Ovis aries: one gene and its partners. The protein of the gene in region 1 interacts with the protein of each later gene in a biochemical or structural test. Links are inferred from orthologs where the notes say so. Each region holds a gene or a part of one and is shown in the gene's direction. Other genes may lie near its edges. The genes, in order: SHANK1, CACNA1D, WWTR1 and YAP1.

Region 1 (4,794 bases):
CACAGACCCCACAGACAGCTCCATCGGGGTGAGGGGTGGGGGCAGAGGAGAGGGTGGAGATTGGGTGGGGTCCGAGAAGCTTTCTCCAGGAGGTGGAGTAAGCAGCTGCTGGGCTGGGTGCACAGAGAGCTCTGAGCGTTGAGAGCTACTTCATCTCCCGCCTGGACCACTGCAGTCCTCTCCTCCTGCCTCTCCTCCTCCTTCCTCCAGAGCCCCTCCAATCCACGCAGCCTGCCGCAGCCAGAGCAATGCTTCCAAACCGTAAATCAGATCACATCACTCCCCACTCCCCTGCTCCCCCCCAGCTTCCCATCATGTGAGGGAGTGAAGCCAAACCTTGGCCTCAGCACAGGCCTGGCCTGCCCAGTCTGGGGGTGGGCAGGGAAGGGTGGGTCCTTTGCACCTCTGCAAACTCATCACCCCCACTCCCTTCACTGCCCCCCTCCAAGCTCCAGCCACACTGATCTCTTTGCTACTTCCTGAATGCTAAGCTCCTTCCCGCTTCAGAGCTTTTGCACCAGCCTTTTCCTCCTTCTAGAAGGCTCTTCTCCCCAGCTCCTTCTCATCACTGAGGTCTCAGCTCAGAGAGGCCTTCCTCGGATAGTTTATTCAAACACCCCCTTTTATCTTTTTGGCTGAATCAAGACCAGCCTTGTCTTGCTGGCTTGTTTACCTGTTTGGTGTCTGTCTGTCGCCAACGAAGGCAGGCATCCCTGTTCATGGCTGTATCCTTGAAGCTAGGACAGGGCCAACCCAGCACATAGTAGGTACTCAGTCAATTGAACAAGGAAAGGAGCCTTCCCTGGCAGCGGGGTCACAGCTCAGCCAAAAGACTGAACCCTCCATGAATGTGTTTAAGTGGAAACTCTGGTTTCCTGTGGCCCTGGGGGTGGGGTGGGGGTGCCTGGCGACCAGGGTAGAGGTGATGAGGGCAGTGGTGGGGAGGCTGCAGAGGCAGGAGCAGCAGGAGGCTGGCCATGCCTACTCCATGCCAGACCCGTGAGTCATGTAGGGCTTCCCCAGCTTCAGCCAGGCGGGCAGTGCCAGGATCGCAGGGCCCACTCTTCCAGGGGGGACACCGAAGCTCAGAGAGGGGACAGCTGGGCCTGCTGGAGGTTACCAGCGCAGCAGCGGCAGCAAGCAGAAGCTTCTGGCTCCTGGCACGAGCAGGGCATCTGCCCTTAGCTGCCGGGAGCCCCAGGCTGGGACCTTGGAAATCAACACAGCCAGACTTTTCCATTTTCCAAGAAAGCAAAGGGCAGTGTGACCTTGGGCAGGCTGCCCACTGCCTCAGAGCTCGGGCCTCTCTTGTGCACCCATGAGGAGCCTGGGGACCCCTCACCGAGAGCTGATGTCCCGGCCGAGAAAAGCCTCATAAACCATAGAAAGGGTACATAACCCCTCTCACTGCTGGTGCCGACACACAAGCAGCTGTTTTCTCCCCAGGCCCAGCTGCTCACCACCTGGGCTGATAGGGGTGAATCCAGAACTGGGTCTCCTGGGGCAGCTGGGCTGGCACCTGTTCCCGCTCATCCTGTGGCACCCCAGAGCCTGCAGCTGGACACGCACCCAGAGGCTGCCTGGAACTGCCCTCCGCAGGTGCGTGGGTTCCAGCTGATGGCCCCCAGGGGAGCTGTTGGAGCTGGGAGAAGGGTAGGGGCCTGGGCTGTGGCAACGCAATCACCGCTGCCCTATGCGATCAGCCCGGTCTCTGCAGGTGTGTCCCACACGCCATGCAGAGATGGCTGGGGGGATCGCGTGTGACAAAGAAAGATATGCAGTGGAGATATCACTATGGAGTGGCCAGTAGTGAACCCCAGCACACAGTAGGGGGACTTTGAGCCAGGCCATCTGTCTCTGATTCTGGCCACCACCTCTTGCTGGCTGGGTGACCGTGGGCAAATTGCTTAACCTCTCTGGGCCTCAGTTTCCCCCTCTCGTCATAAATGGGGATGGTGCAAGTCCCTAGTCCGGAGGACTACGGTGTGCAAAGTTGAGGAGTAAACCCAGCACAGAGCCGGGCACACAGGAAGTGCTCAAGAAATGTCAGAGATAATTATCGGGAAGGAAGCGGTGGTGCAGGGTCGTGCCTCTCGATGGGCGTGTGCACACCTGTGTGATGGCCGGCCAGGGCACGGTGGGTGAATGTGATGGAGACAAAGCACACGTCTCCCTGTGGTTCTGTGTCTCTGTTTCAGGGTTGCGTGTGAGCTGGAGCTCTGAGCAAGCACAGCGGGCTGCGTGCCCGTGTGTGGGGTGGGTAGACGCGTGTGCTCTGCCGTGTGCATGCTCCGACACACGGGTGTGATATGTACATGATGTAGCTGGCTGTGCTCATGGTAATGTATCCTGTGAGAGCCCGCACGCCCTGGAGAAGATGTGTATGTGGAGACGTCTGCAGGGGCAGGGCTGGGGAGCGACTCGCTGCACCTGTGCCTTGCGGGAAGGTGTGTGTGTGCTGGGCGGACAGGACAGAAATCTATAGCTCTCACCATCCAGTTTGGGGGTGTGGAGTCTAGCAACGAATACTTAATTGCACCCTACTGTGTGTAGAGGTGGTGGGGGCGCCCTGGGAAGGGGCGGTCCTGGGGGGGTGCGGGGAGAGGTACCCTTAGGGGGGCGGAGCCCCATCGCCGGGGTACTGGGGCAAGCAGGGGTGGAGTCAGGGTTCGGGGATCTGGCGGCGGAGAGGAGCGGTGGGGGAGGGCAGGGGAGGGGGCGGAGCCGGCGGGGGGGGATGGGCGAGGTTTGGGGGCGCTGGGAGGGGCGATGTCTCCTCCGCCGGCTCCCGGAGGGAGGGGAGAGGGCGGAGGGAGGGAGAGAGGGAGGGAGAGAGAGGGAGAGTCCGGGTGAGGGAGAGACAGCGAGAGCGAGAGAGCGAGCCGGGAGGCAGAGGAGGCGCGGAGCGGGCGGCGGCGGCGGCGGCGGCGGCGGCGGCGGCGGCCTGAGGCCGAGGAGAGGAGCCGGCGAAGACGCGGCGCCCGGAGCCGGCCGGACCGAGCCGGGGGCGGGCTAGCTAGGAGGGGCGCGGCGGCCGCGGCGCAAGGGGGGGCGCTCTGCGGATGGCCAGGCCCGGCCCGCGGGGGGGGTGAGGTCCGCGGCCCCCCCGCCCGCCCCCCCGGCCCCCGCCCGCCCCCTCCCCGGGCCCGCTCGCCCTCCGGGGCGGTGGGGCATGGCCTGAGGGTCCCCCGTCTCCGGGGGGGGGGGGGGTGGGGGAGGGGGAGGGGCCGCGGGCGCCGCCGACCGGGACTCAGCAGCCCCGCCAGGCAGGTAAGGGGGCCGAAAACCGGGGGTCTGGGTTGGGGGGGGAAGCGCGGGCCCGGGGCCGCGGGCGGGGGCGGGGGCGCCCTGGACGTCCTTGGCCGAGCGCCGGGCTCCCGGCCCGGGTGTGCGGTGGGGGGCGGGGGTGAGGAGGGGAGCGTTGCCCCGGGCGACGCCAATTGGGTTACGCCCGGGTCCCCCGTGCCCCGTCCCGGATCGCGGACTTGCTGGGGCCATGCGGCCCCGTAGCCCCCTGCCCGAACCCGCCTCCCCGCGCTCCGGGGCCGAGGGTTCGGTCGCGGTACCCGCCTCCCGGCCAGCCCGGCCCGGCCACTCCCCCGCCTCGCCCATCGCGGCCCACCTGGGCCTCCTGGACCCCTCCTGCGGCCCCACCCCTCGAGGCCCCTCGCCGAGGTCATTCCGGCGCCCACACCCTCCAGCGGGGATCTGAGCCTCGGCCTCCGCCGCCCCCTTCGACCCCCTGTGGTTTCGGCTTCTCCTTCCAGACTCGTCCAATCCCCTCCCACCCTTTCACGAGCTCCCCGCATCCCAACCCGGTCCCCGCTTCCTTCCCCACCGGCCGGCGCGCCCCCTCGGCTCCCGCCCCCGAGTCCTGCTCCTGGGGGCCTCCGCCCCCTCTCCGCGGACCCGGGCTCTCCCCCACCAGTTTCTCGGCCCCAGCCCGGGCTCCCTCTGCCCGCCTCTCCCCTCCTCTCTCCGCCTCCATTCATTCTCCCGGGCCGGCTCTCGGCCACGCCGGCAGCCTCCCCCCGCCGTACCCCCGCAGCCTCCCAGGGCACCCCCTCTCCCCCCTTTCTTCCCCCCCCCCTCGCCGATTCCTCAGCCCGTCTCGGTACCAGCTGCGTGCCAGCTATTCTTAGCCGCGGAGCGTTTGATTCATGCCGCCCCGGCGGAGTGTGCCCGCTCCCTCCCTCGGGGCCTGAGGGGGAGGGGCCCGAGCTGGTCCTGGGGGTTGGGGGCAGCCGCACGCGCCGGGGGACCCGGCGAGCTTTGCTTTCAGGAGTCCGTGGAGGCTGGGGGAGGGGGTCAGCCGGGGTCAGCAGAGGGGGAGTGGCTGCCAGCCCCAGGTCTGGAGGTGGGAGTGGAGTCGCCGGGTAGGAGAAGGCCAGGGGGTCTCCGCCAGGGCCAAGTAGGGGAGGCTCTGCTGGGTACCCAGAAGGGGAGGGGGCCGTGGCCACGCTTAGGGGAGGGGGTGACCAGCCCATGGCTGGAGGCTGGCTCGCCCACAGTTCTTGAAACTCTCCTCCTCCCCCCGCACACATTTTGTCTTCCCTCCCCAACCCCCCCCCAGCCCATCCCCACTCCCCCAAAGTCAGCAGTACCCTCCACTGCTTCCCATCTCCATGGCAACGTGCAGGAGCCGGGCCTGGTGTTGGGGGGAGGGACCAGACCAGACATTCTGGTTTCCGGTGCTGGGGTGGGAGGGGGGGAGAAAACTCGGAAGAAGGGCCCCATCTGGACTCACCCTTATAAGACCAATTCAGGGGGGAAGAACAGTGGGGATCTGAAAAA
Region 2 (4,347 bases), on another chromosome or scaffold:
AGTCCTCAACACCAGCCCCCTGGATGGAGAGGCTGTTGGTTTTCTTTTCTTCCTCATCCACGTGCCACATGATAGGGCTGGAAGTGCTCCAGTGCTGAGAACAGGGAAGGCAGTGTGGGCTCCATGGTTGCACAGTTTGTAGCACTTGATGCGGGGCTTTCTGGGCGCATCATCATTGCCTTTGAGCTTGGGGTCTGCCCTGATGGGTAGGCAAGTCCTGCACCATGGTGTCGACAGGCTCACTCCCCAGATGGGCCTGCCTGCTGAGTGGACTTGAGCCCAAGCCTCTTACCAAGGCCCAGGGCTCCGAGGAGCACGTGAGGGTTTGTGGTGCCCATGCCTCCTCCTGTCTCACCTCACTGCCCTCTTCTCCCCTACCTTTGCCTTGGTCTGCCAGTGCCCCTGCTGGGGCCTTGGTGGTGACCGCTAGGGTAGGCACTCCCATCCCAGGGCCGGGGAATCCTGTCCTGCAGAGAAGGGGCAGGGGCCAGCTGGTTTTTGGGTACATGTGGCATCACCAATACTGCCAAGAGAGCTGGGTTACCCCCAGTGAGGACCGTGGGCTGGGGAAAGAGATGAAGCAGCAGCTCCTGCCATCTCCTGGCTGGGCAGCTTGATTTTGGACACGTGGACATTTTGCTGATGGATAAGGGATATCCACTTATGGCTTTGCTGAGGAATGAGGTGTATTTTGGGGTAGGACTCTAATCAGTCACCAGAAATAAATGAGACACATCGGCTCTGAGTCTGCCATCTCTGTGCATAGTAAGTTCAGCTGGGTGGTGCCCAGGCCTGTCTCTCCCCAGCTGTCAGTGTCCTGTGGGCAAGTGCAGTCAGACCCATATCCATGGTTAATATTTAATTTCACAACCCCAAACACAAGCTGCTGAACAGAGCAGTGCTGGGCTCTGTCAGTCCTGGATGGCGCCTGTGCAGGTGGGGCTGAGCCCCGGGCCCCATGAGTGCCAATGCCCTCCTGTGACCGCCTTTTCTCCCTTGGGTGGTCATGATCGTCCGTGAGTCAAGGACCCTGAGTGGGCAGCTGGCTGCCCTCTTTATTTATAAGTGTGAATAGGTAAAATGCATTGTATTTGCTCTCCTGCCCATGTATTCAGATCTGGGGCAGGGAGACCAATGGAATTCCTATGTGCTCAGCTCCAGAGAGGTTGCTCTCTGCATTAGGGCTGGTTGTGCAGAGCAAATAAGATGACAGGCATAGGTGGATCCCTTTTCAAAACTGAAAGGTGCTCTCTGAATGGTGGAGGTGGTAGTTTTCCTTTCTTGGCTTGAGCCTCTGGTCCCACCACCTGACCCGGGAGGAAGCTAGAGGTGGTGCTAACCTGGGAACCCTGTCCTTCTCTTAGAACACTTGAGTTTGGCCCCGGGCAGCCTGTGGGAGGAAGGCCATCTGGAGTGGATGGCAGGTGTCCATGTTCCCCAGAAGCAGCTAGACCAGGAGGCTCAGCAAGGCTGCATGGTGTACAACAGGCCTGCGAGACAGGCTGGTTGTCTGTAGGGTTTCCCGCCTGGTTGAGCAGTGGCTGGCATGGGCTATCTCTGGTATCCATGCACTTTTGGAGCCAGACCTCCACCAAGAGAGCTCTGCTGCTTCACGTGCCTCCCAGGATGCCCACAGGGGCTCCCCAGGCTGGTCCCTGCAGTTTTCCAGTGTAAGAGTCAGAGGTGTGTGGAGTTGTGCTAGGGTAGGATAAATGCCCTGTGAGCTTAGAAAGCAGAGTTCAAGAAAGGAATGTCAAGGTGACTCAATGCTGCCTTGCAGGCCACCAGTAACAAGAGGTGTCCTGGGGAGCCCTCTGGCCTGTGCACAGGGGCCCAGAATTTAGACTGATCTCCTGGGCCTGGCACCCTGGGGGGCCTCGAGCCTGGATCACCTTGTCATCACTCAGCCTGTCTAGAAGCCTCTGTTTGGAGTGGCTGTTAACAGGAAATGCATAGGTGCTCAGGCATGTCTGACTCTGTGCGACCCAATGGCCTGTAGCCCACCAGGCTCCTCTGTCCATGGGATTTCCCAGGCAAGAACACTGGAGTGGGTTCCCATTTCCTTCTCCAGGGGATCTTCCTGACCCAGGGATCAAACCCGTGTCTCCTGCGTCTCCTGCATCGGCAGGCAGATTCTTTACCAGTGCACCACCTGGGAAGCCTGTTTGTGGTCTATTAAGGACAAGCAGCCACATTCTTTGTAGTTCAAGGTGTCCTTTCCTGTGTGTTCTGTCTTCCCGGCTAGGGAAGCTGGGTCTTTGCCCCACAGGGGATCTGCCTGTTATCTGGCTGAGCTGTTAGGGCAGGTAGCAGACAGAAGGGTGGTCACAGCCTGGGAGCACCCACGTGACACTCCGGCCCCAGGGATGCTCGGGAAGAGGAGCACAGGCAGTCGGCAGGCACCTGTGGGTTCTCCAGTGAGGTCATGTATTTGACCTGAGACGCTGCGTCCCTGCCACGTGCAGGGCCAGGGGCCTCGAGTCAGAGCATGGCTCTCTGGCTCCTCCTGAGAGAACAGCTGTGTGGGGGCCGAGACATCAACTTGCTGTTTTTGGAAACGCCCCTCAGTTGGGCTGCTTTCTCTTCCTGAACTTCTGAGACAACCCCCCACTCCCGCCACCATGCCTGGTGCTTTTCTCTGGATGCCTTGCTCGCTTCCTCCTGGGCCCCCGCTGCTGGACATCCAGGTGGGCTGCCCCGACCCCCAGAGCCCAGGGCCTGACCGCTGGTTCCGGCGTCACACGTGTGCTTCACTTCTCAGCCCCGCGCAGGTCCTCCTTCAACTTTGAGTGCCTGCGCCGGCAGAGCAGCCAGGAGGAGGTCCCGCCGTCGCCCGCCTTCCCGCCCCGCACGGCCCTGCCTCTGCACCTGATGCAGCAACAGGTGAGCCGGCCCCCCGGGCAGCTCCAGGGAAGGGACCCCAGTGTCCTGAGCACATAAACACTAGCTGCCGCCTCAGAGTTTCTGTTCTGGTCTTTCTGCCAACCTTGTCCCTTTTCGCCTTCCACTTTTTACATTAATTGCTGTGTCCTACTCTGTTGTGGATGGAGGACAAACTTTGGGAAGGCCCCAGGCATCACATGCCACACACTAAGTGGGCATGGGGGTCCCTGTGGGCTTGTGTGTGCTTCCCTTGGGTGGTCCTGGCTTCTGACTTGGCCACAGACCTGGCCTCACTGTCCCCTGTGCCCCTTGCAGAGAAGGATGCAGGGCAGGCCTGCCGTGGCACCGCTGTAGGTGGAAGAAGCAGGCTTGTACCCGGTAGTGCTTCTAAGCAGAGTGCCAGCTGCAGACGAGTTGCCCGAGAGAGAACCAACCCATTTCTCTGAGCGCTAGGTGCCGTCAGCTTGCCCTAAGTGCACTTCCCTATTCGAACCCAGAGTCATTCAGGTGGCGTGTTTGTACTCCACGACTTGTGTGTCGTCTTCATGCTTCTAAGCAATTTCACGAATAACTGATTACCACCTGGGGATCAAGAGATAGACTGGGGGCAAAAGAAAGCACAGTCTGCTAGACAGCCAAGTTTTTACAGCCAGTTCATTGAATTACTCAGAGTGCTGTATCCTTTGGAAGCCCCTATAAACCAGGGCCTTGAGCCTGGCCTGTTCTGAGGGCACCCGAGGCTGGGACCCCTGAGGACCTCACCCCGCTTCCTCTATCTCCTCAGATCATGGCAGTCGCCGGCCTAGATTCCAGTAAAGCCCAGAAGTACTCGCCCAGCCACTCCACCCGGTCGTGGGCCACCCCCCCGGCCACGCCGTCGTATCGGGACTGGACGCCGTGCTATACCCCGCTGATCCAGGTCGAGCGGCCAGAGGCCCCAGACCAGGTCAACGGCAGCCTCCCGTCCCTGCACCGCAGCTCATGGTACACGGACGAGCCCAGCGTCTCCTATCGGACGTTCACACCAGCCAGCCTGACCGTCCCCAGCAGCTTCCACAGCAAGAACAGCGACAAGCAGAGGAGTGCCGACAGCCTGGTGGAGGCAGTGAGTGTGGCTGCGAAGTCTGCATGGGAGGGACGGTGGCACCGGGGAGGTGGTCCTGAGGGTGGGTAGGCTCCAGAGCCAGGATGCCTCTTCTGAACCTGGATAACCACCCACTTCTTAGCAGCAAGGATGGTGCTTAAAGCACAAGTATAAAAACATCATGCCAGCCACCAGGGATTGGCATGCTGCAGTCCATGGGGTCGCAAGAGTCGGACATGACTTAGCTACTAAACCATAGAAACACCACCCTTGGTGGGTTTCATCAGCTGGCAGCACCTAGGATTGTGTATGTTAGTCCTAGAAATATGACTTGTTTATTCTGAAACATTTGTCCCCCCTGGGTTTCACTCTTGTTGGGC
Region 3 (4,851 bases), on another chromosome or scaffold:
ATTTCTTACAAAGCAAGACCTTCCTTCCTGGGTGAGGACCTTCCTGCAATAGGGCTGGCCCCAAAGTTCCATCCTTTCATTGTCAAGAGGCTTCTCAATTAGTAACACTTTGGTCCCATTCACTTCCTGTAGTTCCAAAGCTAATTCTATTGTTGCAACTGTGGTGGCTTTTGAGAATAGCTTGCAAAGATGCTACTTCCCATGGAGTGACCTGCAGCAGCTTCCCCTTCCCTCTGTTGGTCCTATGGGCAGAGGACTTGCTGATGGAAAACAGTCTCCTGGAGGAGCCATGCTCTGCTTACCTTGGATAGTGATCTCTCAGGCAGCCTTGATTTTTCCCAGTCTGTGAGGAGCACACCCTCAGATATAGATAATGAAGAAGGGGGCTCACATAGGTGGCTTCTGCTCTATTTTGGGCAATGACAGGGAGCAGCCATTCAGGGAATGTGCTCTGAATACTCCTACCCTTTCCATGGCAAAACTACAGGATGGCCTTGTCTTTCCCATACATTTTTCTCCTTCACAGCAACTCCAGATTTTAATTTTGATCTACTCTTATAAAAATGTGGAGGCACAATACTTGCACTTTCATTTAACAAAAAGGCATGTAGGCAGGTATGTCTGCAAAGTGCTTTACATATATTGTCTCATGTGACTTATTTCATAAGCTTATGTTTGAATCCAGTAGGGTGGGGCGGGGTAGGGGTTTTCTGAAGCCGGATTTATCTCGAAGCCACTCTCCCCTTCCCCTCGACGGGAGGGGACAAGGAACAGAAGGAACTGAGCTGCTTCGGAGGGCCAGGCCGCCTCCTACTTCCCGCAGCTGTCTTGCCAGGCCAGACCTAGAAGTAGGGGGTCTCCAGCCCACGCCCAGATCCAGTCGGTGGGAGGGTGGGTGGTTTTTTCCGGGTCACTGGCGCACCCTCTCTACTCCCTGCCACCTGTTCCGGTTCTATCCAGGCTCCAGGCTCTCTGGAGGGCGTCAGGGACATTCCAATCCTCCCACGACCCGCAAGGATGTCGCGAGAGAGGGGGGCCCCTTGCTGTCCTTTTCCAGCACCGAAGATTTGCCCAGGTTTCTTCTCAACCCCTGGTGACCCGAGTTACCCTGGAGAGGAGAGAAGAACTGATAAATGGTTTCAAGGTTGGTTTGTTTACAGTGAACTAGTTGGCGAAGTCGCATCCCTAGCGACAGAGGCACTTTCTGGGCACTGTCTGCGCACGAGCAGACAATTGAAAGCCAAACAGCCGAGATGCCTCCTCGCCAGACCAAATATGGTCACATGCAGCCTCCCGTGGAAAGGCTGGCCTCGCTGGTGTCTCCTCGCGTCGGAGCGTACCCGGGCCCGCCCTTAGGCAGAATCACTGATCAATGCCGCGCTCCTGGCTCCCGGCCTCGGTACCCGGCACGAAGAGAAGGCGCGGCACCCAGGACCCGCCCTTCCTCTGTTTGGGTCCCTCACTCGCGTGTCTTCCGCCGCCCCCAGCCTGGTTTCGGTCCACAAGTCCTTGATTAAACAGGCTCGGGCCACTTTCCCTTTGATCCCGCCCCAAGTCCGTGGTAAACTCAAAGGAATGCAGATCCAGGGTTCCGCGAGAGAGGTCAGCCAGTCCAGGAGGAGTGGGCGGGGGGCACCCATCTCCTCTTACCCTGCAGAGTACCCAGCACGCCCAGGGTTTTCTGGTGCCAGGGTGGAAGGAGGAGGAGGAGGAAGGGGAGGGACGAGAGAGGGTAGGCTGGCTCCGGACTTGGAGGTCATGCATAATTCAACAGCTTAACTTTCGGGCCCGCCTCTTTCCTGGGAGTGGGAGTTTGCTCCAAACTTTGTTTATGGGACAGTCCGGGATCCGCGGCGGCCGCGCTGTCTGCTTCTCCGCTTCTCCGCGGAGCGCGAGCGCCTGAGGCCAGTTCGGGGGATGTGAGAGCCGAAGCCTCTCGGCTGCCAGACACCGAGTAGGGTCGGGATTTGCCAGCCGGGCCCCAGCTCCAGCCCTGCAAGCTCGGGACGCAGCCGAGCGACCCAGGCCCAACAGCGAGTTCGGGCGGGACGGCGGCCACCGCACGCCCAGACTCGGATTCGCTGCGCGTCCAGGTAGTGCCCGCTGGCGCGCGCCCGTTCACCCCGCACCACGCCGGGGCGCCCGGCTCCTCGGGCTTCCCGAGTGGAGACGTCTTGGAGTTGGCTCGGGTTGAGACTTTGAGGGCGCTGCCTGCTCTGGAAAATTTCGACCTGTCCTTAGACACCAGCAGTTTCATTAGCGTCTCCAGTGCAGTTAACTCCCAGCAGACACCCCCTCCCCCTTTCCTGGTAACTTCTTGGCTTCAAGAAAGTTGCATAATTCTGGAGGCCAGGAGGGACCCCTCCCCCACCCCGCTAGTCTCAAGTTCTGGGTGTCTGGGATCCCGAGGCGGACACCTATCTGTCTCTTCTCTCTGTTCTCCTCTTCAATTATCAGACCTTCAATAAGAAGCTAATCTGACCTCCTTTCTCCTAGCAGAAGATGAATCCGGCTTCGGCGCCCCCTCCGCTCCCGCCACCCGGGCAGCAAGTGATCCACGTCACTCAAGACCTAGACACGGACCTCGAAGCTCTCTTCAACTCGGTGATGAACCCCAAGCCCAGCTCGTGGCGGAAGAAGATCCTGCCCGAATCGTTCTTCAAGGAGCCTGACTCCGGCTCGCACTCGCGCCAGTCGAGCACCGACTCGTCCGGCGGCCACCCCGGGCCCCGACTGGCCGGCGGCGCCCAGCACGTCCGCTCGCACTCGTCGCCCGCGTCCCTGCAGCTGGGCACGGGCGCGGGCGCTGCGGTCAGCCCCGCGCAGCAGCACGCGCATCTCCGTCAGCAGTCCTACGACGTGACCGACGAGCTACCGCTGCCCCCGGGCTGGGAGATGACCTTTACGGCCACTGGTCAGAGGTACTTCCTCAAGTAAGTCAGCCTGGAGCAAGGGGGGCACACAGAGTCACAATACCCAGGCCGCGCGCGCTTGTTCTTGTGCGTGTTCGTGACGGTGCGTGCGTACGTGCGTGTGTGTGCCTGCGTGATAATGTGTGTCGTTGAACGGCTTTTTTTCCAGAAATCTGGGAGACTGGAAGTGGGAGTTAGTTTTAGGGTGTTGGAATTGTAAGGGATCAGAAGCTGGGTCTGGTAGAGTTCATCCAGGATCCGGGAAGTTGCGAGATTTTCAGGACATGAAAATTCTTCGAGGTAGAAGAAAAAAGCACTTGGGCAGAATTCTCGTGAAACACATAGATGCGTTGAGTCTGGAGTACTGATACTGGAGTACTTTGACTTCTGGACCCAAACGCTACTCCCTTTCCGGCCCACTCCAAGTCAGGTAACTCCTAGCCTGGTGCACTGCGATGTGACATCAAGATAGTTCTAGAACAGAACTGAGGCTTGGGGAGGAGAGAGGAACTTTTGTTACTGTAGGTGGTCTGCTGTCTCTCCATTGGAAAAGGGAACACTGACTTAGGCCTTACAGCTCCCCGTTCGGTGACGTAATAACCATACAGCACCCCCCAGTGATGTAATTAGGAACTGCGTGGTGAAGTAGCCGTGGGCTGGACAAATCAATCGTGTGGAAATTGGGTCAGGAGTTCTATTGTGTTGCACTCGGTAACCTAGAATATCATCGATTGGGAGCTGCTTTGTCGTATTTCCCGACAGGTTGTTCTGACTTTTCCATGTAGTGAATTTTACATTCGAGTGGAATTAGACTCCACAGGCATAAAGAAGGTTGCTTCAATTGTGGTACCCTAAAATAATTATATTCTGGAGGAGAAGCCAAGCTAGAACTTGAAACATAACCAGTGAGGTCATGGGGGGTCAGGCCATCAGTGGCCTGGATAGAAGTCCTGCCAACTGGAGCACTTGGTTCAGGATTGCCTGCACTGGCTGACTGTTGACTGCCGTGGTGGAAAACTCCTCTTCTGAGAACTTGCCTTAGACTTTATTTTAAAGCCTACATATATATATATATATATATATATATATATATATATATGTATGTATAAAATAGAGTAGCCTTAGTTTAGAAGTTATGTGCAATTTTAATAAGATAATATTTGATACTTTGATTGCTATGAGAGGACCTGATAACAAATACAGTGATGGATGAAGGCTTATAATAGCCAACCATTTGACTCATACTGGTAGCCAGTTATTTCTTCTCCATCCCAAAGCTGTTGACATCTTGTGCAAGAAGGAGTTCTTTGTTGCTGGTGGGGTTGATGTAGCGCTGAGAAGCCCTTGTCGGAAACAGAGTTGCTGATCATTCTAGTCCACAACTGGTCTTCTGGTGAATGAGTGCTAGTGTGGACACATACTGAGTGCTTTGATCTAAATAGTTGGTGGAATTCAAGTATGTTATGTAATCGCATGACATTTTTCTAAGTGTGATGATATTGTTCTGAAGGATGGCATTAGTTTATATACTGTGTGTATGTGCAAAGTCATTTCTGACTCTTTGCAACCCTATGGACTGCAGCCTGCCAGAGTCCTCTGTCCATGGGAATCTCCAGGCAAGAATATGGGAGTGGGTTGCCTTGACCTCCTTCAGGGGATCTTCTCAACCCAGGGACTGAACTGGCATCTCTTGTGTCTCCTGAATTGGCAGGCAAGTTCTTTACCATTAGCTCCAGCCCTTATATACTATATAAAGGTCTGAAGCAGCATGTTGTGTTGCTTACTTAGGTAAATGCAGTTTTGAATATGTTATTGTGACTTTTGTAGAAATGGACTTAGTAGTACATACAAATAGAAAAAGACCCAATATTTTACAATAATTTTGGAAAATAGTTTTGGTCCCCAATGATTTTTGAACTATGTTTATATATATACATAC
Region 4 (4,347 bases), on another chromosome or scaffold:
TGTACGATTTCAAATGTGTGGCATGCCAGAAAAGCAGTCCTTAAAGGTAAATTTGTTGACTTAAGTATTCTAAGAAAAGACTTGACTAAGTGAGTTCAACTGAAGAAGTTGGGAAAAGAGCCCTGGCAGTCCAGTGGCTATGACCCCCTGCTTCCAAAGCAAGAGGCGTGGGTTCAATCTCTGGTCAGGGCATTGAACTAAGATCCCCCATGCCATCTGCCATGGCCAAAGTTTTTAAAAGTTAGAAGAAATACAGGAACAATAGAGGGGGAAAGTAAAAACAAAAATGTTGTGACTTTATATTAATATCTCAGTAGGTTGAATTGAACTAAGGCATTCTCGGAGAAGATTGGTCTGTAATTTTCCTTTTTTCTAATATCCTTGGTTTCAAATCAATGTTATACTGCCACATAGAAGAGTTGGTAGTCTATGGGGAAATTGGTAGGATTTCTGTATTGCCATATCTTTTAAAAAGTTAAATTTCTGCCTCAGTGCATAATGAAAGGGCTTAGAATCATTTCAGTGTTGTTTCCCCACACAGATTTTATGCCAAGTTGCTGGTCTAGGCACTAAGAATATATGTGCGGTTGGGATTCTGTCCCCGCTCCTGAGGCACGTGTTTGAGAGAAGATGTGTGTGCTCAGTCGCTTCAGTCGTGTCCAGCTGCTTGCGACCCTGTGGGCTGTAGCCCGCCAGGCTTCTGTCCACGGGATTCTCCAGACAAGAACACTGGAGTGGGTTGCCATTCCCTCCTCCAGGGCATCTTCCTGACCCAGGGACTGAACCCATGTCTCTTAGGTCTCCTGCATTGACAGGAGGGTTCTTTACCACTGGTGCCACCTGGGAAGAGAAGATATAAATTTGTAAATAAAAAATGACAGGTGAGAAATGTCAGTAGACAGAGTCCCAAGGCAGTGCCCTGGAAGAGGTTTGTTCAGGTGGCCTCCAAGAGCTGTACCTGTGGTCCAGCCGAGGACATGTGAAGATCATCACAAGGAGTTTGCTTTGTGGCCAGGGTCTAGTAAGTCATGAGCACCACCAGTGAATCATTTCAGATTTTGGTAGCAAGGTTGATGAGAGAGAGCCATCTATGATTTTTCTTTGTTTTAGTGTCTTCGTAAGGTATTAGGGATATGCTGGTCACAAAAGCGTGAAGTTTCCTTCTTTGCTGTTCTCTGCAAAAGGTTGTAAAAGATTAGTGTCATTTCTTCAAGTGTCATATGTATTAAACAGTGACCTGAAATGTCACCTTAAAAAGTTGAATAGATGTCTGAAAAGGTAATGTATCATTCTTATTGCCATTTTCACGTAATAAAACTTGCATCTGCTTACTGAGGCTAACACAATCCATAGTTTGATCAGTGTTTTATCAGTGACAGAAATTCACTATTATAAGAATCCAATCTAATTGTCAAATGGTGTATTACAGGTTCAACTCAAAAAGTAACTGACTACCTTGGCTGTGTGGGGGGTACAGTGGTGTTGAATGAGACCAATCTGTGCCGTCCAGATGTAGGCTTTATTTGGAGCATGCATCTAACCTACTTGATTTGTTAGTTAGCATTGTATTTAAAGATTAATAATGAACTTTACTGCTTAGATTGCTTTCTCTTAGTTAGTTTGAGGGATTTATTTTTAATTGGATATATATTTTATAATAAGCGGTGCATTCACATTATTCAAACTTGAAAAGTTACAAAAAATGTCTCTCTTGAACGTCAGTTCTTTAGTCACCCAGTTCCCCAGCTACAGAGCCAGCAGGTGTTGATTGCTTCTTATCTGTCCTTCGATTGAGATTCTCTGGATATGCATGTAATATATCAGTACAGCCCTCCTCTGCCTGTCCTGTTCTGTACTGTGCCTTTACCTTTGTGTGCCTTAGACTTCTCCGCGCCATTGCCTGTTAGAGCTGCTGCTTGTTTCTTTCATCTTAAGGCCGCATACTACACTAATGACAAGGATGTCTGTAATAATAAGAAACTGATGTACCCTTTGTACTATTGGTGGGTTTTTAGGTTATTTCTGATCTTACTACAGAAGAGGCTATGTTGAATGTCCCCATCATGCTTGTGAATAACAAAAAATCCTTTTTCTTGGCTAGTTTTTTAGAACAGATCTTCTGTTTCCTTGCAGCCATGAACCAGAGAATCAGTCAAAGTGCTCCAGTGAAACAGCCACCCCCGCTGGCCCCCCAGAGCCCACAGGGAGGAGTCCTGGGTGGTGGCAGTTCCAACCAGCAGCAACAGATGCGGCTGCAGCAGTTGCAGATGGAGAAAGAAAGACTGCGACTGAAGCAGCAAGAACTGCTTCGGCAGGTGAGGCCCCAGGTTAGAGACCAGCCTTCCACTCTTGGGGCTTTGTTTTCCTACGTGAAGCTGGGTGTGTTTCATTTTGGCATTTGTTGGTTACAGAGGAATGTTGTTTCTCCAAAACTAGAGTGACACAGAAACACTCTGTCCAGCTCTGTCCCTGTCTTAGTTTCTCTGCTGGCCTCTGAGCACGTGGGCTGTCACTTGTAAACCTGTGTCACACAGAGGCGTTTGGGCCATGTTCACTGCAGTCAAGCAGAAGGCAAAGGAAGCAAGGGTGCTTTTCCTCAAATATACAGGCATACCTCGGAGATATTGCCCATCAGTCCCAGACCACCACAGGAAAGCGAGTATTACAGGAAAGTGAATCACATGAATTCGGGGGTTTGCTGGTGCATATAGACGTTAATGTTTATACCATACTATAGTCTTAAGTGTGTAACAGCGTTATGTCTTAACAGTGAACATTTTTTAAAAGTACTTAACTGCTGAAAAAATGCTAGCCATCATCTGAGCTTCCAGTGAGTCATCTTTTTGCTGTAACATCACAGATCACTGTTATAAATAAAATAATAATGAAAAAGGCCAAAATATTGTGAGAATTACCAAAATATGACACCAAGGCGTGAAGTGAGCAATTGCTTTTAGAAAAATGGCTCTGATAGACTTGCTAGTCGCAGGGTTGCCACAAACGTTTGATGTGTTTTTAAAAAAAAAAATGCAGTGTCTGTGAAGTGCAATAAAACGAGGTATGTCTGTACAGGGAATTGCAGACTATTTAATATCTGAAGATTTCGCTAAGGAAGAAACTCTGGAACATCACTTGGGGAGAAACATCTTTTACTTTAAACAAATTATTTGTCTAGGAGAATATACCAGTATGATAATATACCAGTATGATACCTCTCAAATGACAGCTGTGTTTCACTATTGCTGAATCTAAGATGTGTTTTATTTAAAATGTAACACAGGCTATCCCAAGTTTAGAAGATCCCCAAGTGCCTTAAAATTACCTGCTTGTGGTTGTTTTTTCACGTTGGGAAGGGCAGATTCTAACATTAGAGAGCTGGAAACCTTTAGGGCCATTTCTGTCAGTTTTCTTTCAGAAATACTGGTTTTTCTGTGCCATATCATCTCAAATTTCAGAGTGACAAAAGCTAAAGTTTAGATTTTGGGGGTATGATCTTAGTATATTTTAAAATTTTTATATAAATATTTTGGGTAATAAAAACACAATGTGGTTTTGAAAGTGTACAAAGTGAAAATAAAATCTCCTTTTCCCATTTCTCTAGTTCTCTTTTCTGGATGTAAATAGCTAACCAGTTCTTATACTTGCCCTCACCCCCGCCCCAGACATTCTCTTTATTTACAAACATGGAATACAAGTGCCTCTACTACTGCCCCGCCCTAAATCATAGCATACTAAGAACAGGCATTAAAAATACCATTATAGGCTACATTTTTGTTGCCAGGATGTAGGCATTTGAACAAGGTACTGTTTTCTTCATGAGGGTTATATTTTGATAGTGTCACTTGAGTGTTAATGGAAATAGATGAACTTGATACAGTGATTGAACTCTGATTTGAGGTTTGAAGAACTGGTACCCAAGAATTAAACTGAGCCATGAGGACTCCAGGCCGCCATACTTGTAAACTGAGCTGTCAGTAACCTGCCACTATAATCTGGTGTGGTTGGCCCTAAAAGAAGAAGGAGAATGCCAGGATATGGTGTCATGAAGTGGTCTTGAAAGAAGTATTTCCTCATCTGCCTTTAAGAAAGTGGAAAAAGGAAGCACATTAACAAGTTTACTATACCTCTGACAGACTTTTAACATATTACTATAAAGGAAAGATATTTTTCATTTAAATAAAACTTTATCACCGGAACAAGGTAGCACCATCGAGAATATAATTATATAGCTATTGGAAGAAATAAAGTAATTTCAGGGTACGTTTTACGCAGCCTGTTGTCATTGCTTGCTTTTCATTTTGTCGTTACTGAGTACTAGATGGTGTAAGTAAATAAAATTTCACGTGT

What was found.
Region 2: the proteins of SHANK1 (region 1) and CACNA1D interact in a biophysical measurement, tested with the Homo sapiens proteins (2 studies listed by IntAct, with this or other methods). The link is inferred for Ovis aries from reciprocal best matches to the Homo sapiens genes SHANK1 and CACNA1D.
Region 3: the proteins of SHANK1 (region 1) and WWTR1 interact in a test that uses a peptide from one of them, tested with the Homo sapiens proteins (2 studies listed by IntAct, with this or other methods). The link is inferred for Ovis aries from reciprocal best matches to the Homo sapiens genes SHANK1 and WWTR1.
Region 4: the proteins of SHANK1 (region 1) and YAP1 interact in a test that uses a peptide from one of them, tested with the Homo sapiens proteins (2 studies listed by IntAct, with this or other methods). The link is inferred for Ovis aries from reciprocal best matches to the Homo sapiens genes SHANK1 and YAP1.

What each region holds. Positions count from the first base shown.
Region 1 is NC_056067.1:56,534,046-56,538,839, reverse strand, and holds the start of SHANK1 (SH3 and multiple ankyrin repeat domains protein 1), read left to right. Parts: upstream 1-1,483; 5' UTR 1,484-1,599; intron 1,600-3,217; exon of another isoform or gene 3,218-3,270; intron 3,271-4,794. UniProt on the Homo sapiens protein: Seems to be an adapter protein in the postsynaptic density (PSD) of excitatory synapses that interconnects receptors of the postsynaptic membrane including NMDA-type and metabotropic glutamate receptors via complexes with GKAP/PSD-95 and Homer, respectively, and the actin-based cytoskeleton.
Region 2 is NC_056072.1:47,263,215-47,267,561, reverse strand, and holds part of CACNA1D (voltage-dependent L-type calcium channel subunit alpha-1D), read left to right. Parts: intron 1-2,761; coding exon 2,762-2,883; intron 2,884-3,667; coding exon 3,668-3,988; intron 3,989-4,347. UniProt on the Homo sapiens protein: Voltage-sensitive calcium channels (VSCC) mediate the entry of calcium ions into excitable cells and are also involved in a variety of calcium-dependent processes, including muscle contraction, hormone or neurotransmitter release, gene expression, cell motility, cell division and cell death.
Region 3 is NC_056054.1:239,214,058-239,218,908, forward strand, and holds the start of WWTR1 (WW domain-containing transcription regulator protein 1), read left to right. Parts: upstream 1-1,838; 5' UTR 1,839-2,093; intron 2,094-2,496; 5' UTR 2,497-2,502; coding exon 2,503-2,933; intron 2,934-4,851. UniProt on the Homo sapiens protein: Transcriptional coactivator which acts as a downstream regulatory target in the Hippo signaling pathway that plays a pivotal role in organ size control and tumor suppression by restricting proliferation and promoting apoptosis.
Region 4 is NC_056068.1:6,217,216-6,221,562, reverse strand, and holds part of YAP1 (transcriptional coactivator YAP1), read left to right. Parts: intron 1-2,133; coding exon 2,134-2,327; intron 2,328-4,347. UniProt on the Homo sapiens protein: Transcriptional regulator with dual roles as a coactivator and corepressor. Critical downstream regulatory target in the Hippo signaling pathway, crucial for organ size control and tumor suppression by restricting proliferation and promoting apoptosis.